Linked DNA regions of Rhinolophus ferrumequinum. The protein of the gene in region 4 purifies or fractionates together with the protein of the main gene of each other region. This does not show direct contact. Links are inferred from orthologs where the notes say so. Each region holds a gene or a part of one and is shown on either strand. Other genes may lie near its edges.

The links.
Region 1: the proteins of COPS6 (region 4) and DCAF8 purify together in Homo sapiens (affinity purification with mass spectrometry; 3 studies listed by BioGRID and IntAct, with this or other methods). This does not show direct contact. The link is inferred for Rhinolophus ferrumequinum from reciprocal best matches to the Homo sapiens genes COPS6 and DCAF8.
Region 2: the proteins of COPS6 (region 4) and KLHL15 purify together in Homo sapiens (affinity purification with mass spectrometry; 3 studies listed by BioGRID and IntAct, with this or other methods). This does not show direct contact. The link is inferred for Rhinolophus ferrumequinum from reciprocal best matches to the Homo sapiens genes COPS6 and KLHL15.
Region 3: the proteins of COPS6 (region 4) and KLHL42 purify together in Homo sapiens (affinity purification with mass spectrometry; 3 studies listed by BioGRID and IntAct, with this or other methods). This does not show direct contact. The link is inferred for Rhinolophus ferrumequinum from reciprocal best matches to the Homo sapiens genes COPS6 and KLHL42.

The regions. Positions count from the first base shown.
Region 1 is NC_046305.1:28,277,972-28,285,099, forward strand, and holds the start of DCAF8 (DDB1- and CUL4-associated factor 8), read left to right. Parts: upstream 1-4,121; 5' UTR 4,122-4,260; exon of another isoform or gene 4,261-4,475; intron 4,476-4,858; exon of another isoform or gene 4,859-5,062; intron 5,063-5,329; 5' UTR 5,330-5,402; intron 5,403-6,842; 5' UTR 6,843-6,927; intron 6,928-7,128. UniProt on the Homo sapiens protein: May function as a substrate receptor for CUL4-DDB1 E3 ubiquitin-protein ligase complex.
Region 2 is NC_046284.1:107,904,514-107,911,832, reverse strand, and holds the start of KLHL15 (kelch-like protein 15), read right to left. Parts: upstream 3,011-7,319; 5' UTR 2,969-3,010; intron 2,656-2,968; exon of another isoform or gene 2,478-2,655; intron 2,405-2,477; 5' UTR 2,206-2,404; intron 1-2,205. UniProt on the Homo sapiens protein: Substrate-specific adapter for CUL3 E3 ubiquitin-protein ligase complex.
Region 3 is NC_046293.1:38,444,435-38,451,730, reverse strand, and holds the start of KLHL42 (kelch-like protein 42), read right to left. Parts: upstream 3,023-7,296; 5' UTR 2,890-3,022; coding exon 2,018-2,889; intron 1-2,017. UniProt on the Homo sapiens protein: Substrate-specific adapter of a BCR (BTB-CUL3-RBX1) E3 ubiquitin-protein ligase complex required for mitotic progression and cytokinesis. The BCR(KLHL42) E3 ubiquitin ligase complex mediates the ubiquitination and subsequent degradation of KATNA1.
Region 4 is NC_046290.1:90,376,563-90,383,727, reverse strand, and holds COPS6 (COP9 signalosome complex subunit 6), read right to left. Parts: upstream 3,006-7,165; 5' UTR 2,958-3,005; coding exon 2,891-2,957; intron 2,669-2,890; coding exon 2,543-2,668; intron 2,328-2,542; coding exon 2,196-2,327; intron 1,875-2,195; coding exon 1,786-1,874; intron 1,687-1,785; coding exon 1,624-1,686; intron 1,331-1,623; coding exon 1,283-1,330; intron 1,207-1,282; coding exon 1,092-1,206; intron 1,001-1,091; coding exon 908-1,000; intron 811-907; coding exon 710-810; intron 592-709; coding exon 451-591; 3' UTR 337-450; downstream 1-336. UniProt on the Homo sapiens protein: Component of the COP9 signalosome complex (CSN), a complex involved in various cellular and developmental processes.

The DNA.
Region 1 (7,128 bases), on a different chromosome or scaffold from region 4:
GCAGAATGAGTTTAACCCTTGTGCCATATACAAAAATTAATTCAAAATAGACCAAAGACCTAAAAGTAATAAAACAATAAAGATCTTACAAGAAGACCCAGGGGTAACACCTTGGATTTGGCTGAGTATTCTTAAATGTGACACCAAAAGCATGAGCAACAAAAGAAAAAACATAAATTAGACCTCATCAGAATTTTTAAAAGACACCATCAAAAAGGTGAAAAGACAAATTACAGATGGGAGAAAATGTTTGCAAATCATGTATTTGATAAGTTACTTGTATCTAGAATATATAAAGAATTCTTACAACTCAAAAAGACAACCCAACATAAATGAATGTACAATGTCTGATAGACATTTCTCCAAGAATACACAAATGTTAAATAAACATGAAAAGATGGTTGACAGCATTAGTCATCAGGGAAGTCAAATCAAAACCATAATGAGATACCACTTCAGACACACTAGGATGTCCAGAATCAAAAAGTCAGATATCAAGTATTAGCAAGGATGAGAACTGGAAGCCTCATACATTGCTGGTGTGAATAAAATATAACTACTTTGAAAAACTGTCAGTTCCTCGAATGATTAAATATAGAGTTAATCATATGGCCCAGAAATTCCACTCCCAGGTGTATATATATATATATATATATATATATATATATATATATACTCAAGAGAAATGAAATGAAACATGTCCACGCAGAAACTTGCACATGAATGTTCATAGCAGCGTTATTCATAATAGCCAAACAGTGGAAACAACCCAAGTGTTCATAAACAAATAGACAAAATGTGGTACAGCCATATAATGGAATATTTGGTTATAAAATGGAATGAAGTACTGATAACATGCTACAACATGGATAAACCTTGAAAACATTAAGTGAAAGAAACCAGTTACAAAAAACCATGTACTATATGATTCCACTCATACAAAAGTCCAGAATAGGGAACTCTACAGAGACAAAATAGATTAATGGTTTCTTAGGGCTGGCGAGGGTGGAAAGATGGGGAGATAACTGAAGGGTACTGTTTCTTTCTGAGGTGATGATAGTGGTTGAAAATTGATGATGGTTGCACATATCTGTGAATGTAGTAAAAGCCAGTGTACACTTTAAATGGGTGAATTGTACAGTGTGTGAATGTCATCTCAATAAAGCTTTTCTTTAAAAAGTGCCACTAGCTGTCAAGTATGTGAGTCTAAAGCATGAAGGAGAAGCCTGGGTTGGAAATAAAAACTTGGGAATCATCATTATGTGGTAGTTTAATCTGAGAATGGATAAGATCACTTTGGAAGAGCATGTGAAATGAAGGGGAAGAGAAGCTCATGAAATAAGTGGTAAGAGATATAAATAGAACTATGGAATACAGTGTCTTAGGAATCAGTGGGATTGAATATCTAAAAAGGGTAATGATCATTACAACCTCAAATGCAATAGGAAAGAATCCTTTTACCTTTCAGCCTCTATTCAAATCTATTAGCAAATCACTTCTGCCACCTTTAAATTACATACTGAATCCAACCACTTCCACTGCAACATGGCTTCCTAACTAGTCTTTCAGCTTCTATTTTGCCTCCCTGCAGGCAGTTCTCAAAGAATCAACCAAAGTAAATTTCTTCATTGATAAAAATCAGATCATATCATTCTTTTATGCAAAACCTTCCATGGCTGCCTAGCACTCTTTGGGTAAAATCCAAAGTCTTCTCCTTGGTCTATGAGTCTGTAAGTCATCTGGCTCCCATCTTGTTTCTCCAAACTAATTTCCTACATGCTCTTTTGCCTTCCTTGCTGTTCTTTGAATACACCAAACACACTCACGGTTCAGGCTTTTATACCTTGCTGGTCCCTCTGCCTGGAAGGTTATTTCCCCAGTGTGTATGGCTCATTCCAGATCTCTATTCAAATGTCATCAGCAGAGGGGCCTTCCCTGAACCCACTACGTAAAAGAGCATAGCCTGCTTTCTTTTCGTTTATAGTACTCAATAATTTTGTCTTAATAATTTTGTCCCTCTTATCCCCCTACACTCCCAACTCCTGCACTAATACAAGTTCTGTGAATGCAGGAAACTTGGTTTGTTTTATTCACTCCTGCAGTTCCAGCACCTAGAACAGGACCTCAGATGTAGTACTTGTTGATAGAATCAATAGTTGTTGATGGAATGAATGAATGAATAGAAATGGTAGGGCATTAGGTAGCTATTTTGTGCTTTGGCACTCTTATGTGTTGGGGTTACAAAGATAAAGAAAGACCCTACTCTCATAGTGCTTATATCTAATAGTATAGTTAGATTAAAAAATACATAATTGTAGGTTAAATGTTACTGCTAAAAAATGTTATGAAAAAAATAATGCAGAGTAAGAAGATAAAGGAGGATGGTGGTGTAAGGTATCATTTTAGTTGGAATAGTCAAGAGCTGCCTCTCTGAGGAAGTAGCATTTGAATAGAGATCGGACTAAGTGGAGAGTGCAAATCTAGTAAAGACCTGTTATAGGATTGTAAATTGGTGCAGTCAATATGGAAAACAGTATGCATATTGAAAAAAATTAAAAATGGAGCTGCCACATGACCCAGCAATTCCACTTCTGGGTATTTATCCGAAGAAAACAAAAAAGCTAATTCGAAAAGATATATGCACCCCTATGTTCATTGCAGCATTACTTCAAATATGGAGGTAACCAATTCAATAGACGAATTGGTAAAGAAGATGTGGTATATATATGATGACTCAGTAATTAAAAAGAGAAATCTTGCCATTTTTGATAACATGGACCTAGAAAGTATTATGCTAAGTGAAATAAGTCAAAGAAAGACAAATACCATATGATTTCACTTAATATGTGGAATGTAAGAAAAACCAAATGAATAAAAAAAGCAGAAACAGACCCATACCTAGAGAGAAGCTGATGGTTGCCAAATGGGAGGAAGGTGGGCAAAAAAAGTTGTTTTGGACTATAAAATAAATAAAGCCAGTGTTCTTAACTAGTGTACTATGATTGTACATATAGAAACTCAAACGAATCTACAGAATAAGTGAGCTTAGCAAGGTTGCTGGACACAAGGATAGCATATTGAAAATATTTGCATTTCCTATTATCAGCGGAAAAAAAGATCTGGTAGATGAACACTCCAAGAAGAGGAAACAAGTGCAAAAGCCCTAAGGTTGGAACATGTTTTGGTTGGAGTGACAGTGAGAAGGCCAGTAAGGCTAGAGCAGAGCTAAGCAGTGTGGGATATGAAATTAGAGAAATAGGTACCAGATCATGTAGGGCCTGCCTTGAAGGCCATTATGATCATTTTGATTTTTATTGTGCCATGGGAAGCTTTTGGACGTTTTGAGCAGGACAATAATATGACCTAACAGTTTAAAAGGGCACTCTGGCTGCCTTATGTTTAACTAGCAGGACGATAATGGAAAAAGACAAGCCAGCTAGATGCCTATTGCTACAGTCTAGGGTAACATATGACCTATAATAGGATAATAGGAGGGTAGCTAGCAGTAGAGGAGGTAAGAAGGGGTTAGATTCTTGCACCCTGGACTTCTGGTCAAAAATCTCCTAGTTTCGCAACTGGGAGTAGTAACCTTGTTAGGAATCCTCTGTATGCTTTCTTTAGGTGTCAGAAGCAAGCAGTGTACACCATTAGGGCCATTCTTGGGAACCAACACACCACCTCCCCTCGGGGAAAGATCCTCTTGAATAGCTTAGCTGCACTTCAAGCTTCTGAATCCCTTATTTAAAAGTGAGTAAATGGAGGCTGTCAGGGGGAAATGGGCTTCGAAGGTATAGAAACCACTTAAGAAAATCGTCCTTATAGGAAATGGGAGTTTTCAGAAGAAATCTGGCGAGAACTGCTTATTCCCAGTATTCAAAAACGGTAGAAATGGAGGTCACCCAAGAGGTTGCCTGCCAGCTCGTTAGAAATGAATTTTATTACCACTACAACTCTGGGAGGCTCCTAACTCACATTTGTTTTGAATACCACAAGGGACGTGAGCCCTTCAAAGCATACCCTACAAATGTAACTTTGCCTCCTCGGTAACGCGCAGGCGCCCCTCGCCCTGTTTTCCGTTGGCCTTAAGCCCCGCCCCTTACGCGTCCTTGGAGGAGGGTTGGAAGCGGTGAGCTCGCGCGACCACTCTTGCCTCCGTCTTCCCCAGCACTTCGTCGCAAACAGGGCCGGAAAGCGTGGCAGCGCAGGCGCAAGCGCAGACAGCGGAGGCGGTGGCGGTGGCGGTGGCGGCCGCTGGCCAGTGTAAGATGGCGGCGGCGTTGGTGGCGGCAGTGGACAGGGCGGCTGGGCCTGGAACAGTCGGAGCAGCTGCTAGCAGGAGGATGACCCGAGACGGGAAGCGGGCAGCTGAGTCTCTCCGGCTCCCGTGCTTGTAACTGCCCTAGCCGGACACCCCTTCCCCTTGACCTACCCGGTCCGTGTCTCGTTCCGGCTTGGCCTGTTCCTCTCTTCCCCTGGTCCGTTCCCCCACAGGATAGGTTTGACTTCTTTCCCAAGCTCCCAGGGTTCAGGTCTTCTCCTTTTCCTGACCTCAGTCTGCGTCTAGAGGATTGGCTGCCCTTTCTTTTGGTCAGCCCTGGGATTGCCCCCAAGAACCTGCCCCACAATCCACTGGGACGTCTTGCCTCGTAGGGTGACCCACTTGTGTGCGCTTTTTTCTCCCCCTTAGATTGGGGGATGCGGCTCACTCTGAGTCTCCCCGTCACCTCAGGGCCACGGCGCAATGTGTCCCCTCCCCCATCTGGGGCCCAGCACCTTGTACGGAAGGCCCGAGGTCCAAGAACCCCAGAGTCAGTTGTTGCTGGCTGGTTTTGTACCCTTTGTAATATAAATCGCTTAGTTTATCTCCCCTTACCCCCAGATGTTTCAGGACACCGTAGGACGGTCCTATTTGGTCCCTGTTAGTTGGAAAGCATCTAGTGGCTTGAATTTCTGACTCATGATTGTTGCTGGAGTCTGTAAACAAACCAGCACTAGCGCTATCACATTCTCTCCAGGATCTCCAACCCCCACTGCCAATCCCCGCTCTGTGGCTTGTTGAGAGGTTGGTTATGGGTTAGGGTTGAAAAGATTCAGGTTTTCCTTTGAAATGACTTGACGTGTTAGTGGAGTTGGGAGATTACTTGCATGGTTCATTTTATTTCTGTTAACGGTTTGTAGGTTATTCACTCGGTACTTACAATGGGATAAATTACTCTGGTTTTAAATAGTTCTGAGGAGGTCTAAAAATACTAAAATGTATTCATAAATATCTTTTTATTATGGTTAGTAGAAGAGACACCTTTGTCATTTAAACTTTAATTTTTCTCAGTCCTTCGGTGAATCTACAGACCTATTTTCTCAGGCGCTCAGCCGGGCACCACTACAGTGATAAAGGAAGAAAGGTGAGTAGGAGCTGAGGGCATTTAAATTCCTGAGTCCAAGACAGACCCTAGCCTGGTGCTCAAGTGCTGACCACTAAAGTCACAAAATTCTTACCACAATTTCCAAAAGAGTTGGGGTATTGTATTTGGCTGTGTTCCAGCTCTGGTTAAATTACTTTTACAAGTTTAATTGGCTGTGGGCGTCTTGATTTTCTGTTTTAAACTATTGCTGTATATCCAGTTAAGCCTAGAAGTGAATATGTCTCCTTCATTTGTGTTGTGTTTTGTCTTTGTGTGGATAATGTTTCTTACATTGTTAAAAGTTGGGAATTGGTTTGCCTGAATTCTGTTCAGACTTTTGCCAAATCAGGTCTCTTCTCTGAGGGCTTTGGGTTGTCATTCCTTGCTATTTAGAGAATATTTCGCTGCTTGTCCCTAAAAGCTGGGGAGTGACGAGTGATGCTGCCTTTATTTGGTGTCTGAGTTCAGTCCACTTCAGAATTCCAACTTTTCAGGACGTAGTGGTAAATTGGGGGTGAAAAAAAAAGTGGCTGTTTTTTTATAGCTGGTCTGAAGAATTCTTGGTCAGCAGAGGAATCATCCTGTGAATTCAGCAGCATGGGCTAGTGCCAAAGAGGGAGTCAGAGCATACTTGTAAATGTAATTTTTGTAAGACTCTTGGATTTCTGGTAGCAGAGAGTAGTGCTGTGGTTGGGGTTCAGCGCTATGGATGTGACTGAAGAGCTGAATGGCTCTGGGAGGGAGGCCTGGGTGATTTTTAATATCTTTATGATTTGTAGTAGGTAAAGGTTGAGTGTGACACTGGTGAGCTTTATTTCACATGGTGTCCCGATTAGAAAATGCTCATTATGAACTGGAATAAGGTTATTATTGGCAGTATGTATAAGTATCAGTAAGATATAAAGGGAAAAGTATAGTCTTTAGAGCTGGATAGGTCTGGGTTTAAATACTGTGCTAAGATTTATGAGCCATGTGGCCTTGGACAAGTTACTTACACTTCTCTCTTAATTTTCTCTAAAAGTGGGATAAGTACCACTTACTTCCTAGGGTAATTGTTGGTATTGTATGAGGACACCTATATAAAGCTATAAATTATGCCTACCACATGATAGACCCTAAATTTTTTTTTTCTATTTTCTTTACACATCATTAATATGGCTTTGAATAAGTTATACATTAGTTTACACTTATTTGCATTTTGCTTTTGAACATGTTTTCCTGGTTATTTTTTCAGATTCATTTTTAATTGGTCAGCTTAGATGTTTGCTTTGTAGGTGGACACCTAGGGTTGTCTTCTGAACATGATACAGGTCAGCTCATGACCAGAGGACAGTGGGAATATTAGATGTTGGAGTATGTGTATCTCAAAATGGATTCTTAAAATAAACATCAATAACTTTCCTTTGTTCATTGCTTCCTTCCTCTTGGTTTCTCTATTAGCAACACCTCATCAGAGTTGACACAATTATTGTACAGGCATACCTCAGAGATATTGTGGATTCATTTCCAGACCACTGCAATAAAGGTACTATTGTGATAAAGTGAGTTGTAACCTTTTTGCTGATGGAGGGTCTTGCTTTCAATTTGTAAAAAACACACCCATCTGTGAAGCGCAATAAAGGGAGGCGTAATAAATAAGATATGCCTGTAATTTCTTCCCTTCCTACTTCAGTGTTCACCACTTCTGCTCCAGCTACTCCTTAATGTTTTTTTCCTTTTAGCCATG
Region 2 (7,319 bases), on a different chromosome or scaffold from region 4:
ATTCTTAATAAGTGGAGTTGGCGTCTGCCTGACTTCAGAGCCTTCGCATTTAACCAACTATCCTACCAATGACTGTCTTTCATTTTTTGAAGAAAAATAAACCCCACACAAGGTACAACATTCCAATTCAGAGGAAATACGTGCTAATAAATTAATCCAACCCCTCATAAGCTACAGATTCATTCTCCTCACAGTTAACGTTATTCACTCTCAAAACATTTACGATGGGAAAGGGCAACCTTGACAATGGGACAACTACATAATTTTCAGGGCCCAGGGCAAAATGAAAATGCAGGGCCCCTTAAAATGAAAATGTGGGGTCCCTCATTCAAAAGCAGGAAAAAAGTATCATTAAAGGTACTAAAACATAAAGCTTTCTCCTTTCTTCTGAGGTCTCTCTTGACTTGTCGTGGTGTTTTTTTATTTGCTGTTTTATTCGTTCTAAGTAAAGAAAAATTAAAAATTTAAATTATTAGCATGAATTTTACCATTCACCTTTATATTGTACAATGCCAGTTTTATACGCAGATTATTAAACCAAGTTTGAAGCCCATTTGAACACCCACGAAGCCAAACTATCCCTGGTTCCAAGATTTTAGCCCCATATAACCAAGGCAGAGAGATCAAACCTTAAAATTTCCAATAAAGTAATGATTTAGCAAAATTCTGCCTTCAAGACAAGCGATAAATCCAATGCATAAAAGCTAGCTAGCCTGTTCAAGTAGGCTCTTCCTTTTGCTAATTTAATCCTGCCCGCCTTATATTATTCTGCCTTTCTAGAAAACACAAAAGCATACTCTGAAAGATAACTGGTATCGGATTATAAATTTAATAATAAAACATTTCAAAAAACCATTTGTTAGCTAAAAATAATATACTAAAAAAATGCTTCTTTTTCACTTTTTGTGGACCATTTTTAAAGTCAAACCATACATTTTTGATGTATCGAGTAAGAATCATCCTATACTGATGTTACACATATTATAAATTCTGACGTCCAATTTTCAAACCACAAATATTTACTATCCTACTATCCCTCCAAGTTAATCAGCAATAAAGAGTGCAAATTAACATCCTTTACACTGAAAAACTGGTTCTAAGCACCTAAATGTTGTGATGATTAAGAGAATTAAATTACATAAATATTATTACATTATCAAATAGTTGAAATTTTGCAAACATTTCTAGATCTATTAAGAATTATAGAAATCTGAATGCATTTCTAATCTCTTCAAAAACAATTTTCATATTAGTAGAGATATTCAGGCATCCTGTTCCCAAGATATGAAAAATAGGCATTAAAATTAGGATATATAACTTAAAAGCATTTTCTGAATTACAATTTAATCAGATTAACAAAAGAAAATATAAATTCGGTAAATATAAAAGTCTAAACAAAGGTAGGTGCTAAATAAATATTGCGAGTAAGAACAGGGACATAAGCGGCCTAGAAAAATGAAAAGCAAAGCACTACAGTAACGTTAAATTTGAATTAAAGAATACCGTTATTTAAATAAGCAGTTAGCATTTCGTAGGAAGAAGGCCAAGCAATGTGACTATTATATATCTATCTAGTCGATTCACAGCACTGCTTCGATATTCCGGACTTATTGCTTATACTCATAATATAGAAATAAAGAGGCAGCAACAGTTAGCCACTACAACATTAACCACTCGGGCAACGGTTACTTTAAAAATTGCCTTCCATTTTAACACTTTACAGCTATAGATTATTTTCATATATATGGCTTCATATAGTCCTCACTACCCTGTGATGTGGCTATTACTGACTAGATTTCATAGATAAGAAACCACGGCTCGGTAAGGGATTTTTCTCAAGAGTCCCCCGGTCGAACCCAGACATTCTGATTCCACGTTTTATGCCTCGTATTTCGCATAGTTTTATTTCAGGCATAAATAGAATTTTTAAAGGGAAGGAACGGGTTAGGGAGAAAATAATCATGGTACCTGCAGCTGTGTGCTGCAAAAAATGGCTGAATTATGCTTCTTCCTTTTTTTCCCCCCACCTTGAAAAAAATTAAATTTCAAACAATTTAAGTAAACTCAAAGACAAATTAGGTCCCAGCGCCTTCCTAATGTTTGACTCGGATCTGAGCAGAAAGGGCAACCGAATCGGTTCCGACCGCGGGCCCGCGGCCGAAGCCCGGGCTCCCGCAGGCCGGAGGGCCAGGGGCGGCTACGCACCTCGGGGGTCTGTCCAACCTCTAGTGGACGGCAGTCTGCATCAGGAAGAAGCGGGCCGGCGGCCGGGCGGTGGGCGGTCGGGCGCCGGGACGGCACTCGGCAGGCTTCTCGAACGTCTACAAGGAGCCGCTCCGAGGCCGGGCTGGGGCGCTCCGGCGGGGGGCGAGTCTGCGCGCCTGCGGTCCCCTCGAAACCAGTCCTGGGAAAGAAGACAGCGCTGAGTCGCGAGTCAAGACAGTCGGGCTCGGCGCGGCGTCGGGGCCGGGCCCAACCTTGCCAATGCCAGGGGTCTCGCAGCGGCCGGCGGGGTTCGGCTGGAGGGCCGACTCGGGGCCGCGGGCGGGGAAAGGGGCTGGGGGGCCGCGGGTAGCAGCAGAAAAGCCGGCAGTGGAGGCGTCGACGACTGCGTCTCCGGGCTTCTGCCCCGAAGCGCGCCGAGCCTCGGGATCACCCACGCCGGGGGTGGAGGAAGGCGGGAAAGGGGCGGGAAAGGGGCGGGGCGTGTGGGGCCACGAGCCAGGGGCCGCTCCGGGCCGCGCGCCCCCTGTGGGCCACGGGAGCCGCCCGGGGCCCGCCCAGGGAGGCGGGGCCCGCCGGCAGGGGGCTCTGTGCGCCGTCGTCTCAACGCGGAAGCTTGCCACGCGGGTAGGGAGGTCGAAGGGTAGGAAGCCATAAGCTGCAGATCAGGCTCTGGAGGCGCCCTCGGCCCCCGCGGGTGCCTCAAGGGGGCCCGCGTGCGGGCGGCGGCCCAGAGGGTGTTTACCTTCCCCCTGGTCGAACGCCAATGCCGCCATCTTTCAGCCAGCGCGCGTCATTTCCGGCGCCGCGGGAGCGGGAGCGGGTGTGGGAGCGGGGTGGGGGCAGGGCTGTCCCACGCCCGCGAGGCCCCACGTTCCGGCTGGCCACGCCAGCGGGCCCCAGGGAGGGCTCAGGCGGCCCCGGGCCCGGCGGGACGAGGCTTACCTCGCCGTCGGGGCTGGGAATGCTTGACTGCCAGTCCACGCGCAGACGTCCCTCTTCGTCTGCACGAGCGGTGGGCTCTAGCTACTGCGGTGCTCCCACCCCTCAACAAGTTTAGGGTTAGGAAGCCCGGAAAATGCCTTTTGCCGTTTTGCACTCGGTGGGGGTAGGGGGATCGGGGACGACATTGAGGGAGCTTTGCTGTATCTACCTGTGTTATAAAAGTGACTACATCTGCGCCAAATGACATCATTTTTGTCAGGCAACTTGCAGGGTATTATTGCGTCATAGTTCCACTTGGCTTATTGCACAACAATTACACGTTTCAGAAATACGTTTCCCAGAGCCGGGAAAATTCATAAAAACGGGCACGTATGCACTGCATATAGAAATGCTGGATCTAAAAACGCCGTTCTGTTTCTACTTGCGTCAAAATAAGATGGCAAGAACTAATACTCAGAGGGCAGTGATTTTTTTGGGGGGGGGGGTTATTCGTTTCTAACAAACCTGCTGCGGAATTCTAGCTAATGCTTTATAAATACCTTCTTGATTTAGAATATAAACCTACATTATAGGACTATTTTGTAAATTTATTGTTGTGAAATCTCTTTGTGGGAAAAGTGTAGGTGACAGAAATACACAGTTGGAGACCAGTGGTTCTACAACTGACCTTAAATTGAGTCCATTGCCCATTTCTGATCCTAAATTGAGGAATTTATCCGACCCACCCCTACCCCCACCCTCACCCCCGCCGCCATTTTCTTTCTAGACCAATATCCCGATGTATTTGCAGTTAGATGTGTGGCTAAAAGCGATCATTATCTCTTTCTAGCAAACTTGAACATGTCATGTTTCCCAAGAGGCCAAAACAGCACATGGTGTACTGTTTTGCTGAAGTAGACTGCTTCGTGGGAAAAAAGTAGAGAAACACCTTAATCTTCTGGAAATAGGAAAATAAGCGTCCCTTTTCCCATTTAAACTATAAAACAAGCTTTAAAAAAACTATTAGCCATAAAATAAACTTTAAAATGGCATGCATTCAACTTTGAATATTTGAGTTTTCATACATTATCCCTGAACGTCTAAAAGCGCTGATTTTATATTTTTGCACGTTGGCTGACACGTAACATTTTGAGCTATACATTTATCACATAGTGTGGAACTAACCTGTCTAGAGAGAGACGTCAAGTCAGTTCTTGATTCAGCAGGAACTGAAATGTCTGGGTTCTGTGTATCATAAATATATCTACAGTGATGTCGTGATCAGTACCCCCTGATGATCTTACATAGTCACAGATGTGACATTTCATTACCGTCCAAAATATGCTTTTTTTTATACTTGACTGTTTCTGAAACTGGGCTGTGTCTTTCCACCAGTCTATATATTTACTACTATGTAGAGCCTACCCTTGGGGGAAAAAAAGTTTAATCAGTGATGCCTCTTTCACTCTCATAAAAAAAAAAGTGTTTTATAGAAGGCTCTGGTATAGTAAGAAACATCCTGCTTCCTCAAGACCAGGCAAAGTAAAACCACATCATTTAAATAAACGAACTCCTCCAGATAATTCCTGTCCTCAATTATTTTTCCCACCAATTACTGGAATAATGGGAGTTCCTAAATACCTTGAGGACATGCTTTCACACTGGTAGAGCCCCATGGGGCAGATGGAAGCTGTCTTTTCTTAGCCCACTAGCTTAAGTATTTCAGAATACAGTCCTCAAATCCGCTATCTGGCAGTCCCAGATGTCCGGAGGCAGGCCAGAGGCTTGGGACTGGGAGTGGTAGTGGAGTTGGAAGGAAATTCCTATCCAGCAGGCTTATGATTTAGGATACTGTATACCCTCCCTCCTCTTTTTAAAACAAGGCTTTTCAGAAATCCAGAGTCTGTGGTAATTATCTTGGTAATCACTTTTCATGTAATTAGCCCCCACCCCAGTCTCGGGGAATTGAAGAGTTGTATCTTCAGCAAACTCTAATAAAGCTGCATATGCATTCTCTTTTCTTTGGAAAACTGTTTTGCTAAATGCTCTATAGCTCATTAGGGTTTTTAAGGCATCTTACGGGGTCCAATCCATCTCAGCCCCTCAGGGTCCACCGGTATCCCCCAAATCAGTACTAACTTCTGCAGATTCACACCAAGACCTGTACACTGACACATTCCAGTAGGACGGTGGCTGTTGTCCTAAGCATTATTTCCTGGCTCCTATCCCAGATGGCGCCTTCAAAATATAGTCTGAGGGTCCCCCAATTTTCCAGGCTTTCAAGTTTGTTTTAACAGCCAAATAGAATAACTTGAGCCTTTACGTTGCATGACTAATAGGAAATTGGTGTCTTCATGAATATTGGCGGATTCCTGGCTAATGCTCACACATCTTGGGCATCGCTGGTCACCTGTCACTTCGAATGGCTCCTCTTAGTTTCTCTCCTATTACTGCTGGCATTAGGGTCTGTCACCCCCTCTCCACATTTCTCCAGCTCTTTCTCTCTACACTTCCAACTTACAAACTTGAGCCTCCCTCCACCGCCCTCTTAGAAAAGCAAAAACCTAAAGCTATCACAAGGAAACTTCAATCTCTTTAAACAGGTCATGGCTTCTAGAGATTCCTACACAGGGATATCCTCCCTGATCATCTCTGAGTCGGATCTGTAGTCATTTGGTGGGAACCCTTTCCTGAGCATATCACTTGTTTCTCCCATCTCCTATCTTCCCCAATCTCATGAACCCCCAAACTTATCCTGTGGGCTCAACTAGAATCCCAAATCCCAAAACATCTGAAAGTGATGTGGATGCAAAAACAAACAAAAACCCCTCAAAGGGCATCCCCCGTGACACAAAGTGTGTCTAATGAATGTATTTACATTTGTGTTATTTCACTAACGTGGGGCGCTATCTCAAGGAAAACGAATTGATAATGTAACATGGTCAAGAGGACTCAACAATGTGATTTTTCCTGGAACCAAATGCTTCTTCCTATTCCACTTCCATCCTTAAAGCCCTGCTGGCAGTTCTTAGAATAACTGCTTTCTGCCTGGGGCCAGACAACAAGGGTTCAGAAACATTCAGGTTTGGTCTCAGAGGCCCCAACACATTGTGACAGGTTTAGACAACATGGGGTGCTATGTGAGCGAGCACAAAGCGGGGGGTGTAATCTGGGTTTGGGAGGGTCAAGCATGGCTTCTCAGAGGCAGCGATCTCTAAGTTCCGTCCAAACGGAATAAGGAAAGGAAAAAGTAAAAGAGTAAAGGATACCCATAGGGCAGTGCGTTCCAGGCCTGGGAGTGGCAGCAAGGCACCTTAATTTAGAGAACTGATAATTTAGGAGGCATACAGTGTAGGACACAAAAAGAGGAGAGGGAAAAGAAGCAAGAATCAGGAAGGCTGCCAAGTATAGCCGGTGGCAGTCAGGGCTTCTCCTCCCGTGTTGCCTCTCACCTCACGCTCTTTCCACTGTCAAACATCCACTATCAATCAAAGATGAAATTAATATCACCATTTCAATGGAACATGTGTTGAAACACAATGTAGACAATGCCCCCTTGTAATTAAAAATGTTAAAAAGAACAGATTTACCCCAAAGTTAATCATTTTTATGTTCTTTATGAACCAATGAAAAGCAACACTATACTTCAGAAGCCTGAAGATACAAGCCACACATTCATAAGTACTGCATTTCAGTAGATGTGCACGCAAACACACACATCCTAAGTGTGAGAGCCAGAGTTGAGGTGAGTGGGAGCAATGAAGAGCTACTATATGGTATTTGCATGATGAAGGAAGTGAAGAAAAAGCCTCCAGTAATTCCCACTGCCAGAAGCACAGCTTTAGGGTTTGGGGACTGTGGTTAAGGATAGAGACGGGATTGAATCTAGGCTCTAAAAGATATTTATTAGTTCTAAAACTAAGTTCTTAAAAAAACAGTGATCGCATCGCTCTCAGGACAAAATGTCTTTGTCCTGATACAGGGCGGAGAGGGACTTTAGGCAAGTCAGTTCTGGCTGCCTCAGCTTGGGGCTGAGTAGCTGAAGTGGAAGCAGGGGAAGCACACGTGAACAGCAAGGGCCCAGGCCTGGCTGCAAGGACAGCTTAGCTTCACCCTTTCCAGAGACCTGAGAGAAGAGCAGCACTGCCTTGGGGAGGGGCATTGGAATGCTA
Region 3 (7,296 bases), on a different chromosome or scaffold from region 4:
CCACTATAGCAATGTTTGTAATGGCAAATGGAAGCAATCTAACTGCTCATAAATAAGGGAAGCGCTAATTACATTACGTACTTCCATAGGCTGGAATACTACACAGCCATTAATAAGAGTGAAGTGAATCGACATTTGTTGATATAGAAAAAACTGTCAGATACAGTATACTGTTAAGTAGAAATATCAAGTGCCGTAATAATCAGCTAACCTAATCAATTTGAGTAAATATATGTATAAGTATGCACCCCCACATGTACATGCATACATATATACATTTTCCGTTAAACACTATCAATATACTTATATTTATATGACTATACATTTAGTTTATAAATATAAATATGTATTTATAAATTTATAATATATAAGTATGTCTATAGATAGACATATTTTTTAGTCTATAGTTTTTCGTGTCATTTGCAATTTTTCTAAGCATATATTCCTGCATCATTCGAATACTTTTTTTTTGCCCAAAGAAAAAAGGGGCAAAAAAAAGACTACCAACGATTTGTGAAGAAAAAACAAGAATTTATGAGGTGTTGTGTTAGAGCTATGGAGCTGGAGGTTGCACCAATTGATACAATTAGAGACACGTGTAGAAGTGACAGACAACCAGAGGGGCCTTCCACCCCTAATCTGAGCACCACTGAGTGTTCCTGTGTTGCTTCAATTAAAGCTCCTAGAATTTCTTTTAAAACAACACTTCTAATAACAAATTTTAAATATGGTATCATCTCAACAGTGTAAATAATGCACTAAAAAGGGGTTGGAAGAAAATATGCCAACTTGTAGATGGTTATTCCCTCTCAGAAGGAGGCAGTAGCAGTGATAGCCTTTGTGTTTCTTTATTCTTTTCCATTTTTCCATTTTTCTAGAATATCTATATACTATTTTTAATCATCAGAAAAAAGGAATGCTTTCCAAAATAAATGTTATATTATAGTAGAAATAAAGCCAGTATTCCCCCTGGTCTGGGGGCACCCTAGAGTCAAGTAAATATATGTAATGGCCTCCCCATTCCTATTAAGAATTTCTTTGACAGGCGGTGAGTCCCTCGACTCCTTGCTCCACACTTCAGGGCAAGACACATAGTGGGACTGGAGATGGATACAGGTGGATCAGAAGAAAGGGTATTCTTGTTCTTTCTTGAGTTACACTGATTCTTCTCCCCACTTCTGAATGGCTCTGGGCCATCTTGTGCCCGACCATCTTTGTTTCATACCACCCCTTCCTGTATTTGCTCTTTGCTCTTATTTTCCTATTCCTTTCCTGATTCCTTTATCTAACTCTCCCCCAATCTCCTCCTTTTCTCATCTTTTTTTCATGTCACCCAAGTTCATGTCTGGAGGGATTTGCAAGATGGGAAAGGAGAAGGTTGGGATGGATGGAAATATTCTAACAGTGTAGGTGACCAGTTCCAGGCTGAAACTTTGGGTCAATAACAATGCCTAGGAAGGAAGTGAGATGAGAAAGAGAGGATAAAAAATAAGAAAGGCAATCCTACACAGCTAATGTTAATACAATTCTAATCTAATGATTATCTCCTGATCATAGATTGGTGCCCTAGTGTGGAAGACTTCAAAGTCATTAACAACAACAAAAATCCCCCAAGGTCAGTGTTACAGGTTGCTGTCAATGTGTCATCATTATCAGATCCTAAAAAATAAAAAAAAAATAAAAAATAAAAGCAAAATTAAAAAACAATTTTATTTTTAAGTATCCTTCTGGAAAACCACAATGTTTTTTTCCACTGGGACAGGGGCAAAGAAAGCAGTTTGCCTAAAGACACAATACCTGCAAGGAAACTACTCAGCTAGTTGACTTCACTGGGGCCTCTTCATCCTTGAAAGTTCTTATTCATTGGGAACTTTGCCAGAGTCAAGGCCAGCCACACTCCTGAAGATGTCATTCCCACCTCAGCACAACCTCCTGTGACTGCTCAGTAAACATTAAGGGAATGAACTAATGAACAAGTGAATGAATGAGAAAGCAGCAGCGCTCGCTGGGTGCTTACCTCTTCTGGTTCATGGAGGCCACCTGGAGCCACTCGTTGGTGCTGGGATTGTAGGAATGTGCAGCGGAGATCTCCTGGCTAGTGATCCTGTACCCGCCCACTATGAAGAGGTAGTTGTCCAGGATGGCAGACCCGTAACCCCTGACATTAACCAGGTCAGGAGGAAGGTTGTTGGCCAGCGGGAACCAACGTTCAGTCATCTCCTCGTACCTGAGCATGGAGGGGGGCTCCCCCTGGTAGGGGTGAGGAGCCAAAGGCCCCCCCAAAAAATCCCCCAGGGCCACGAGGACAGGAGTCCCAGTCATCCGGCCCTCTCTCAGCCTCTGCTTCAGGCTGACATCCCCTGAGGCCTGAGCAGGAGACCCCAGGAGGTGGAACTGAGGCTTGCACAGCACCTCGTGGAAGTGGATGACCATGAAGCGCAGGCAGGCCTCCTGCAGGTCGGGCAGCCCGTACACCTGCGCCAGGCGGTATAACTCCAGGCAGTTGGTCAGCCGCACCTGGGACAGCAGCAGCTGCAGCAGGGACGTCACTTGCAGGAAGGAGGCCGCTTCCACCAGCTCGGACAGCAGGCTCACCTCGTCCATCTCCTCGTCCTCCGCCGCCCCCCCACCCTTCTCTCCCCGCGGGCCCAGGAGCCAGCCTTCGCGGGCTCCGCCGGCGTTGATGAAGTCCAGCACCAGGCGCAGGCCCGGGGCGCTGAGGCCGCGCAGCTGCTGCACTTCGGGGCCGCCGGCCTCCTGGCTCAGGGCCTCGCGCATGCCGGAGCGGTAGAGGGCGCGGAAGTAGTCGCTCTGCTCGATGAGCTTCCTCTTGCTCACCGGGTAGCAGCGGTCCTCCAGGCGGATCTGCACCATCTCCTCCGCCGACATGGCTGGGGGACCAGGGGCCGCGGGGCTGCCCGCCAGTTCTGCGCGATCGCTTCCCCGCCCCCGCGCTTGCCGGGTTCCGAGTTGGGCGCGCCGGGGGATGGCGCCCGGAGGAGGAGGCCGGCGAAGGGCCGCCCGCTCCCTGCCGCGCTCGCCCAGCCTGTGTGGGTCGCGGCAGCGCCCCGCGAAGCAGTCCCTTCTCTTGGTCCCGGGTGCGGCAGCTCAGCCTCGCTCCCCCAGCGCGGCGGCCCTGCCTTTCTGGTCCGGTTCAGAGCCAAAAAAGGGCCGGCTGGCGCGCGCCGGGAGTGGGCAGGCGGCCGCCGTCCCTGCGCGGGTTGTCCAAGGCCGCGTCAGGCGGGAGGGGATCCCAGCCCCCAGCCTGCAGCCTCCTCCCACGGCGCGCTTCGCACTTCCGCCCGCAGGACCCCTGCCGCCCGCCAGACCTGCGGACGGGATCCGGCTTTCGGGAAGGGCTGGAAGGCTGCGGGCCTCTGGTGCCCCGGCGGGGACCGCGCGGGAGGCGGGAAGGTGCGGCCCCGCAGCCTCCCCCGCACGCCGGGCGCAACGCCTCTGCAGCCTGCCCGGGTCTGCAGCGATGCTCGCGAGGGACAGGAGACGAGAGGAAGCCAGTCTGCTTTTTCTTCCACGCTGCTTTACAAGAGAGGAAGAAAAAGGCAAAAGGAACGGGAGTGGGGGAAAGGGATGAAGGCAGTCTGGGGTCCAGGGAGTCAAAAAGACATCACATCTGGGATCGCCCATCTGGCCCAGTCCCTCTTCGTGTCCCAAGGGGTTAAGGCTCACTGGCCGTCTCTGGACATGTAGGTGGCACTTAGAGCTTAGTCTTCGGCATGGTCATTGTGTAGGAGCCATCTTGCAGAAAGAAAGTCCAGCCGGACGGCAGCAGGTTCTGCAGGACTCAGCGCAAGGGGTGCACGGGGGAAAGCGGTTTGGAAGCAGAGAAGCCTGTGTTTGCTGCTGGGGCCTGTTATCCTTTTTATGCGATTAAAAGAAAGCACAAGTCGACTAAATAAAGTTAGATCGTGGGCCTTCTTTTAAAATATTTCCTAACCTATGGAAACGTCATTGCTTTCCCTATTTCAACGTGGTTGGGCGAGCCATTACGGAATGTTAGCTTTGGACATAAGGTCAGACCCCTTCTGCTCATTTTTGCCTATGGAGGTGGCTTTTCTTGCAACCCTCTTACCCTTCCTTTCTCTAACCCCGCCTCCCTCAGTCTGAGGACTACTTAAGGAGAGCTTCTTCTCCATCTTCTGTCACCAAACATTGCAAAAAGAGAGCTCACCCCAAATAATACAAAGGATCTTGTGTTGCTCATGAGCTATGAATTAATCCTGAGGGGCAGGGGGTATTATTAGGGTACCTTTGAGTAGAAGGAGGGATAGGATTGGGAGAGAGCAGAGGGTGTGTTTACTCTTACCGTATAAAAAACCCTTGAAAACTTTCCCAGACCAAGATGTGAGAACCAACTATAAATGTCTTCAACTTGGAGATAATATGAGTTTAGACTTTATTTTTCTTATTACAACCTTCAGCTTTCTTCTTGAATGACAAGTTGTTAAATAATACCTTCATCATAAATACATTTCCCTTATTTAAAACGGAAGAGACCTTCTCCAATAGTGATTAAAATTTTATGTTACCAAAGGGCAAAGGTTAAAAACCAAAGAAGAACGTCGTATCTGTAAAACAAGATATCTTTTCAACACATTGTTTGGTTACATTTGTGCTTCTTTCTGTGTAACTTAGCTGCTTCATAGTGAGGTGATGTCATCCAGTTTTTTCTTTACACCATGAATATAAAACTAGAACTTGAAAGACATGGGGAAAATTCTACTAGATTCTAGCCTCCCTGGGAAAATGAAAGAAATAAAGATGAATCTATGACTTGCCTCTTTCAGTGTGCTTAGACTCTGAAAAGCTTCTAGTTTTTCACCTCGACCTCGTTTCACCTGGCCTTTAAATCATTACTGATAAAACCCCATTCTCACATGGACCTCTCACACTTGTTCTCAATGAGGGTACAGTTTGAGACATTCTAAGCTTCTCTGGGTGAGTGACCATGAACTTAGCAACCTCTTTGGGAAGGTAAAGTGACATGTCCAGTATTAGGCATTTAGCTGGGGAACTTGTGCTGGAAGGGGCCCCCTGTATCAGAGATTTGGACCATCAGTGACAATGCGAGATTCAGTGGGTCAGCCCAGAAAAACAGTCTCTTTAGAATCTTTCACCAATGGATGCTTGTTTCCCAACCATATCTATGAGGCAATCATAGATATGCCTCAGACTGGTATTTTGCCTTTTAAAAACAGACCCCCCCCAAAAAAAAAAAATCACACTCAAAGAATGATGTGCATTAGAAAGGCAATTCACACACAATAATATTACCAGATCAGCTTGGACACAGAATCTGGGATGTTAGTTTGACAATACTAGGCACTGATCCTGTAAGTTATTTGTCCCCAACATGATAACGACATTTAGGATTGGAAGCATCTTAAAACATCAAATTATTTTAATAACATACAGAAATCTTTCTGTTAAGCTAGAAATGCAGTCAGAGCAATATAAACTCCTTTATTTACAAAACGAACTAAAATATTATTTTCAAGCTTCATGAAAATATTGCTTATATGTAACTGGAGGCATAATTTTATAGATCTCTTATTGACTGATCATTAAATCATAAAGACTGAACTTTGTGGTAATTATGATTCACTTTAAGCACTTTACATCATGATCTGTTTTACAGAAAACTGAAATAACGGTCACAGAGTTAGGCTATTTCTTTAAGAATTTATGAAAAATACACATTTTGACCTAGAATGGAAAAAATTCTAAGTACACGATGTTTATCACAATGTTGCTTTTAATAATAATAAACTGGAAAACAGAATATATAATAATAACAGTTAACATTTAATGTTCATTATATGCCAGGCACTGTTGTACTTTACATGTACTATAATAGTATTTTTATACAGTTTTATAGCTGAGGAAGCTGAGGTACAGAGTAAATTTTGGTACATGTATAGAATGAAATACTGCAGAGTTACAATTTTTTGATGTAGAGAAAACTTTCTTTAGAGATTACAACTTTTGATGTAGAGAAAACTTTAGAGACACTGAAAAATATAATTTTATACTGTATTTTTAAAAAACAGGTTCTGAAATAGTATGAATCCATTTGTCATGTATCTGTTTTTGTAGAGGATGTTTACCAAAATGTTAAGATTGTAAGATCTTGAATAGTTTTTACTTCTTTTTGTACTTTACTATATGGTTTGGATTTTTTTAAATAAATGTATATAAATGTATTAAAAGCAAAAGATTTTAGGAAAATTAAAGACATATTTAAATTTCTCAGGCCCCATTTCTTTAAAACAATTTCTATCAATTTTATCAACTGATGAAAACATTAAGTAAATAATACAACTCTCATTTTTAAAATAACGATGAAATATTATTTTTCAAACATCTTGTGAATTTAGTCAACCTATGTGATTACTTCACATCTACTTAAAAATTATCTTTATTTCTTAGTCCCTCTAATATTCCTAAAATAACTTGTTGTTTTTTAACAAGCAATACCAAATTTTCCTTTCACTAAAGCATATGGGCCAATTTAAATGAGTTAAAAGTAGTACAGTTTTTAAAACAGCTCTATTTAATTCAGGTTGAATGTCTTCATGTAGGCAAAACTTCCATTTATTTCAGATGCTTATATCAATGTTTTCCAAACATCTTAGAAAATTACCTGGGGCACTTATAAAAATAAGAATTCTGCTTCCCAAACCAAAGCTACTGAAGCAAATGAGTGGTTTTTAAAGTAGAAATCTAATTTTTGAACCCCTCTGAAGAGTGCCCAATTGGAAATGAGTACAACATATCACTGCAATGCAATAGTACAGTGATTCTGGATATTTGATACAATTTGTACAAAAGGTACTTAGCAATGTCTTATTCAGAGTTGTAGTTGCGTTCTGGTTTCTGCAATTTCATCTCCATGGACAAGGTTTGAGATGCTTCTGGGCCACACATATCTCAGCCTGTTGTGTATTCCTCCCTCCGCCCCGTAGTCCAGTTTCTGTCTCTCCTTGTCAAAATACTTGGCTTCAAGAAGTTACTCATTTCCAGACTATGTTTAACAGTTTAAAAAAACAAAAATGTTTTTAAAGCTTTAAAGCATGCTTTTACATTGGAATTTGTAGATTCTTTAAAATGCAGCTTTGACCTTCACTTGAACATCATTTGATAGCAAAAGGAGTAAACAATTGTGGATTGTTCCATTAGTCCTGCAGGGAACATGAGAGCTTTGAGGAATTACATGTCACACAAAAGAAACTACATTTAATGTGACTGAAAGATGTGGAGGTTAGAAGGTTAGAAAGT
Region 4 (7,165 bases):
CCCTCATAGAAATGTGCTTAATATCCCGCTCCCTCCCAATCTCTTTTTGTGTGTGAAAAACTAAGCTTGGGAAAGGGGTCATTTGTTTACAGGGAGATACTAAAGAGCAAAACCCATTGCTTAGGTGGAAGCAGGCAGCCTTTGGCTCAATATAGACAGTCTACCTGACCAGACTTGGGGTCACTTCAAGTGGCAGTGAGCTCCCAACCACTGAAAGGTGTTGAGAAGAACTGATGATAAAATGGGACTCATGCCTCTGAGCAAGGCTGGAACCGAGAGCCTAACATCCAAGTGAGAAACCTATGTGGTGCCTAACAGAGGACAGAGCCACTGGAAGGGGTGCTGAGGGGGCACTCCCCTTTTATTAATGACAGGTTTCTCTAAGGGGAGTGGAACACCTCTCCCCTCTGGGACAGTTCTGACCCCTGTGCGTCATCTCTTCAAGTACCCTCAGAAGAAGAGCCCCCGCATCCGCCTGCCGATGCCTTGTCGGTCATAGAGGACGTTGAACTTGTTCACGAACTGGTTCATGGTGTTGCACGTTTTGGTGATGGTGCCAAGGTAGGCCATGAGCCCCACATCATTACATTGCTGGGAGGGAACAGAAAGATCCAGGTCCCTCACATGCCAGGGAACACCTGAGTCCTATGTCCTGCATGCAGAAATGATAGCATAAGCCCCACCCACCTTCCTGGGTTTTAACACTCACATCATAAAAGTCTGTCTTGAACTTGTCTGTGCTGAGTACCGGGAGGCAGTGACATAAAGCATAGGCCTCCCGCAGGATCTCGTGGTTAAAGGGGACCTCTCCTAAAGGTACAAAGAGAGGATGCATTAATGTGGATGTTGTCACTTCCCCAGGAGGGAGTGGAAAAGTGGTAGGAGTGCCAGGGAGTCCCCGTCCTACCTGCTTCAGAGGCTTTGACATACTCCAAGATGAGCTTGACGCGACTGTGCAGCATTTTGATGGCGCTGTGCTGTGCTATCAAGTGTTCAGCCACTGCAGGGGGCAGGGACAGGCCACGGTTGAAAAGGCTTGTGGCTACACCTTCCACCCCCACTTCCAAGTATGCCCCTCCAGCCTCCATTACCCGTGGAGTTCTCTCCACTGCCTGTTGCTGTCATTCGGGCGACATGGTCTACACCAATGCGTTCAGCTTCCTCTGTGGCCAGGGTGTAGGTCAGTTCAGCAAACAGCATTGTGGCCTACAGGACACATAGGGAGAGTCAAAAGCGGGAAACATCAGGGGCAGGATCTGAGGGTTGAAGGGTAGGGCATTACCTCTCCATTGATTATATCGATGACAGACTCAAAAACGCTGACAGGAAGCTGTAAAGAAGAGATGGAGAACAGCTCTTACATCAAATCCACCTGAAACTATACTATGTGCCAAAAATTGGGATTGGCAGTTTCACATTGAAGGGCCAATGAAGGACAGATTATCGCTGTTTTACACATAAGAAAAATGCAGGTTAATCCAAAGACATAGCTGATAAATGGCAGAATGAAGATTCAATTCAACAGAGATGTCACACAGTAAAAGACAGCAGGGGATGAGTAAAAAAGATAAGCATAGCGATAGACAAGTATGACCAAATGGGCATTGGGTCAGTGTTACTCACATCCGTGTGCTTGGTCATGGGGTTCAACTTAAGAAAGAGGGGGCTCTCAATGATCTCACACACCTGGAAGAGGGGGATGATGGATAAGTGTATTGCCCATCTTTCTTCTCTCCCTCATCCTCTATTCTTTACCCCAGCATGCACATGTGTGAGCACGTATACCTGCTTATGGACGTGGATGTCGGAGGGGTCAGGTGGCCCCCCAGTGGTATACCAACCCAGAAACTCCAGCTCCTTGAATACCTGTTTAACTGGAGAGGAAGGGGCCAGAGCACAAAGTATTTCTTTAAACCATCCTTCCTTAATTTGAAGCTCCTGGTGTATTTTCACCAGCTTCTCTCCTTCCCCTCAAATCCCGGTTCATTTTAGAATGGTTATTTTCTTCTCTCATCCTTCATTTTTTTGGGGCAGAATACCCGAATGTGTTCTTTTTCTGAGATTTCTTCAGGTACTCCACTTTCCCACCGTTCTCATCCCATGTCCTGTTTATTTTTCCCCAACCCTCTCCATCTTCCCCACTCTGCTTTTTTTTTTCCTCCCACTCCTCTCTTCCACTTCTATTCCCCTCTCACACTGCTCCTCCTTGGTGTAATAATATTCCTTGTCAATGATAATCTTCTCTTCCACGGTGTGTGACAGCAGCTCAAAGGAGTTCATCACCTCGATATTTCGGCCCTCCTGCTTCCCGATCAGAGCCCCAATCACTGGGGAAGAGAAGGACACACAGGGGTGAGAGGCAAGAATCCCAAAACTTACCTAATCATTACAGCTGGAGGGTGTGAAGTCAATGTGAACTAAATACAGGGGAAATGGTGATTTGGCCGAGGAAGGATTATCTTCAGGAAAAGAAGGAGAACAGACCACTGTTTGGTGGAGGTGACCAACGAAAGGAGGTTGCAGAATTAGGCTGAACACTCACCCTGCATAGGCCGCCCCTCCTGGGAGCGCATGCGAATCCAATGATCTGAGATATTGAGAATGACCAGGGGATGAAGAGCAACTGAAACACTCCCAGTCACTCCGGAAGCCATCACGCTGGGGACTACTAAAGGTGGAGGAGAAGGAGAGAGAGTGAGACTCCGGGCCCCACGCCCTTCCCAGGAGACGGGAGTGGGAGATGGCAGAGCCGGGCCATATATCCCTCCCGCAAGTTATCCCAGGGAGCGATGTTACCGTCCACCCTCCTGACCTCTCCTGAGATCCAGGAAGGCGGCCTTAACGCACCTCGAAGGCCGTCTCCAGAAGCCGCCCCCGCGGGGCCCGTTACCTGCTGCATCCACCTCCATCCCGCTGCTCCCCCCAGTCCCGTTCGCCGCAGCTGCCACCGCCGCCATTTTCCCCGCGCCCGCCGGCCTCGGCCCCGCCCCCCTTCCCGGCTTCCGTCCGTGGCGGCGCATGCGCATCGTCCCCGGGGCGCGCGCCTGCTCTGGCGCAAGACAGCGGCTGTCCTACCTGCCTGGTGTCCGCCCGCAGCCCTCCGGCGGCAAAAGTCCGACGCCCGCATGGCCCTGAAGCCGACAGATTTTCCTAGACCCTGACCCAGGCTCTCGTCTGCGACTGACCTTAAACAAATTACTTAACCCTACCCCAACCTTTCCGTCTTCGTCAGCAGAATTCGATTAAGATTGCCTAGTCCCTAAGTCTATTACAGAATGAATGAAATGTCATGTTATTGCCCTCAGAATAAAATCCAAGCTGCTAACCGCGGCCTGCAAGGCCCTGTATGATTCGGCCCCTGCTTGTCAATGGGCCCTGGCCTTTTCTGCCCCCTGGTCCCCATGTTTCAGCCACGCTAGCTCTCACACCTGTTCTTTTAACACGCCCCACTAACGCAAGGGCCTTTTGTCATGTTCATCATTATAACCCCTAAGACAACACGGTACCTGACACGGGTACCTAAATGATTTTTGAGTAAATGGATGAATACTTTGGGGTGGAGCCTGGTCTTGAGTAGCTCTCTGCAAGTCCTATCTTTCCTCCTCCCAAATAATGGTATTAACAACAGTATTAGGGGCATCCCCAGAATCTCCTAACCCCTTCCACGCTCCCTGTGCTCTCCATCTCCGTAAATCTCACCTCTGGCAAAGAGACCACTCCAGCCCTCTCCCCACTCTTCCATGTACGCAAATTGTGTACACCGCCTTTACCCCTTCTGCTGCCCCAACATGTCTGGTTGGCTTTTTAATATGTGTCTGTACCCCACCCAAAATGTAAGCTCTAGAAAGCAGGTAGAGACCTGTTTCTGGACCCCACGAGCCTATTCTGGTGCCCAGAACTAGCAGGTACTGGAGATGTTTTCTAGTGATAATAATAACTTACATGAATTAAGTAACCTCTCCACTTAGGAACCTGGATAAAGGAAAGTTGAAGGGCCAGCAACACTCAAAGGAAGAGGCCTGAGAAATCCTGCAGGGATAGGGGTCTTCTGGCCAAGGGGAAGTTGAGAAAGAGTTTATCTCATTCTAATCTCCAGTGAAAAACATTCCAGCCAACTGAGACAGTAATGGAAGAAAAGCATATGTGCCATTTTAGGGAAAATGAGGTCAGAAAAATCTATCTCTTTTACATGATAGGCAACGTTTAAGGAGTTTCTCAGATTGAAGGCTAAAATAAAGACAAGAATTATTCTAGGGTTAATAAAGTTGACAGTTGGTGTTGTTGTTTCACACATTAAAGTACTTCTTTGTCTTTTTGTTGTTTCAAATGCTTTTGAAACTGCTCAGATAATTATACAACCCATAAAACAGTGGTTATTGTGAAATTCAAGGATGATTTTGAAATTGAATCAGTTGATTATACATGCTTTGGAAGTAAGCTCACTGAGCATTTCTTAAAAGTGCATTGTATTAAAAATCTACTAACAAAAACTCAAGTTGAAATTGTGTTAAGGCAACTTATCCCACAGTTCTCTTTCTACCTTCCAACAAAATTAAACACAATGCATCATTTTGTTGTTTTGCTAACTTTTCCTTCCACAGAGTGGAGGTAACTGGGCTGGTGGGGAATAGCTGCTCAGAGAGTCAGCAAAGAAGATACCAAGGACTGAAGGGAAGGCCCTCCAGGAAAGAACACAGACTGAGTCACCGATTGCTTTGAATCTGTGGTGTTATCAAGAAATTCTACTCTTTGGGGTCAGTGATTATCCATCCATCCATCCACCCATCCATCATTCATTCATTTACTTAAAAAATATTTAGGAGTGCCTACTATGCAGCAGGCACAATTCCAGGTGCTGGGGTTACAGCACTGAACACAACCAAGTTCTGATTTCATGAAGCTTACACTCGAGTTGTAAGAAACAGACAATAAGCACACATAAGGATATTAAAAGGGATTCGAGGGGTGGTGTTTTACATGGAAGGGAAGACCAGAATGGAGTCAGGGAGCAAGGTGTAAGGAGAGCTGGAGGAGGAGTATTCCAAATGGAACAAGTGCGAAGGTCTTTGGGCAAGAGAATGCATGATGTGTTCCAGGAATAATGAGAAAGCCAATGACTGGAGCTGAGTGAGGGGGCAAGTGGGGACTGAAGGACTGAGATGAAATGAAATCAGAGAGGTAACAGGGTCAGACCAGGTGAGGACTCGTGAGCTTTGGCTTTCAGTCTGAACAGACACATGACTTGATTTGACTCAAGGCTGTAAAGGGTCACTCAGGCTGATGCATGGAGGTTAGATGGATGGTAGGGGACATAGAAGCATGGAAAACTGGAGCTATTGTCCTAATCCAGGTGAGAGATGACCATGGTTTGGACCTGGGCAGTAGAGGCAGAGGTAGGAGATGACTCAGGCCTGTAGCTATCCACATGCCCTGGTGTGTATTGGAAAAAGTCTCTAGTACAGCAGCTATAGTTAGTAGTGCTGTATTGCATATTTGAAAGTTGTTAAGAGAGGAAATCTTAAAAGTTCTCCAAAAAAAGAAAAGGATGTCCCTTCTAAGCTCAAGCTGGGTTTCAGTCCCCACTTGCCCCTTCACCCAGCTGCCCTGGACAGGGCAAAACCTGTGAGTCCTGATTGAATTCAGGATACATTTGGAAAGTAGAGTTAATAGGATTTGCTGACTCAAGGACACTTGGGCCTCAGGAGAAGCGCATGAATTTGTAGTAGTGGGTTTGAAACAAGGTTGTGCTGGTCTGTGTGTCAGCATGCAGATGGAATGGGGAGAGGTGTTCACAAGGAGGAGTTTCAGTGCTGGCAAATCCAGCCAGAGCTGCTGCCTAGCTCAGGTAGCCACGGGATGGGCTTGCTAGGCTGCGGTGGTGCTAGATCTAGACGACAAAGAGAACGTTAAGGGATCCTCCTCCCACCTCCCTGCACCTCCTGGGTCTAAGGTGTTCCCTTTCCAGTTGCTGGGTTATTGCTCTTCTTCTATGGCCACAAAATTGGTGTGTCACATCCTAGTAGCTTTTTCTCCAATTATCCCCTATTTGCATACAGACCTTTTGTCCAGAAGGGTCAGGTGTGAGTGAAAGAGGGCATTTTTACAAAATTTGCAAAGACCATTATACCCTCCACCTTGACCTATATATTAGTTTCCTGTCATCTTTTCTAGCTTCTGGAACTACATTCCTTGCATTACTTGGATCATGGCCTCTTCCTCATTTTCAAATCCAGTGTTTTCAGCAGCATCTTCATATATCTTTGTCCCTCTGTTCCCATCACCACATTGCCTTCTTAGTAAAATCTCTCCCTACCCCTCTCTTATACTTGGGATTACATTTAGTGCCCACTAGGATAATCCAGGATAATCTCCCCATCTGAAGATCCTTAACTTAATCATACCTGTAAAATCCTCTTTGCCATATAAAGTAACCTTCACAAGTTCCAAGGATTATACCTGGATATCTTTGGGGGATCTTGTTCAGCCTGCCACAGCCTGTGTGGGCCACTATAAGAAAGCTGGAGAACAGTGTCCTTAATCAAATGATCTCGAACCATGTCAAAACAATAAGAAAATGCTGTGACTAGACCAGAATTAAGTTAGCATGCCCTAGGCTCCCTTGTGGCTTGGCTGTAGCCAGAGGGTCTACCAACCAGGCTGGCTTGGGGTAGCCATAAGGGGAGGCGGCAGGGCGGGTAGGGAGTGTCATTCCAAGGAATAGGTAGGGCAGAATCTTTAATTTTCAGAATAAGTCTAGAGAGCTCCCCAGCCCTTTTATCTTCGTCATTACCCAAGGGATGACTGACCAAGAGGAGACAAATGCTTTTGGGGGATGGCCACATTCAGTGACCAGCCTGCCTCACTAAGGCGTGTGGACCAGAGGAGGGAAGGGAGGTAGAGCTGATTTTGGAGGAGGCCATTCCAGTGCTTGGCAACGAGATGCTGCCCATGGTAGGGAGTGTGGAATGTTCACCCAACACCTTGACTCTTGATTCATTGTTGGGTGGCTTTTGTTGACAAAAGGTACACCAATGTCAGACTGTTGATGGTCTGCAAAGCCTAAAACACGACACAGTTTAGTTTCAAGGTCCATAGTGATGAGGCCTGAGTCACGGGATCAGACTGAAACAGGGACACCGGCACCAAGAGAACCCTTAGATCAAAG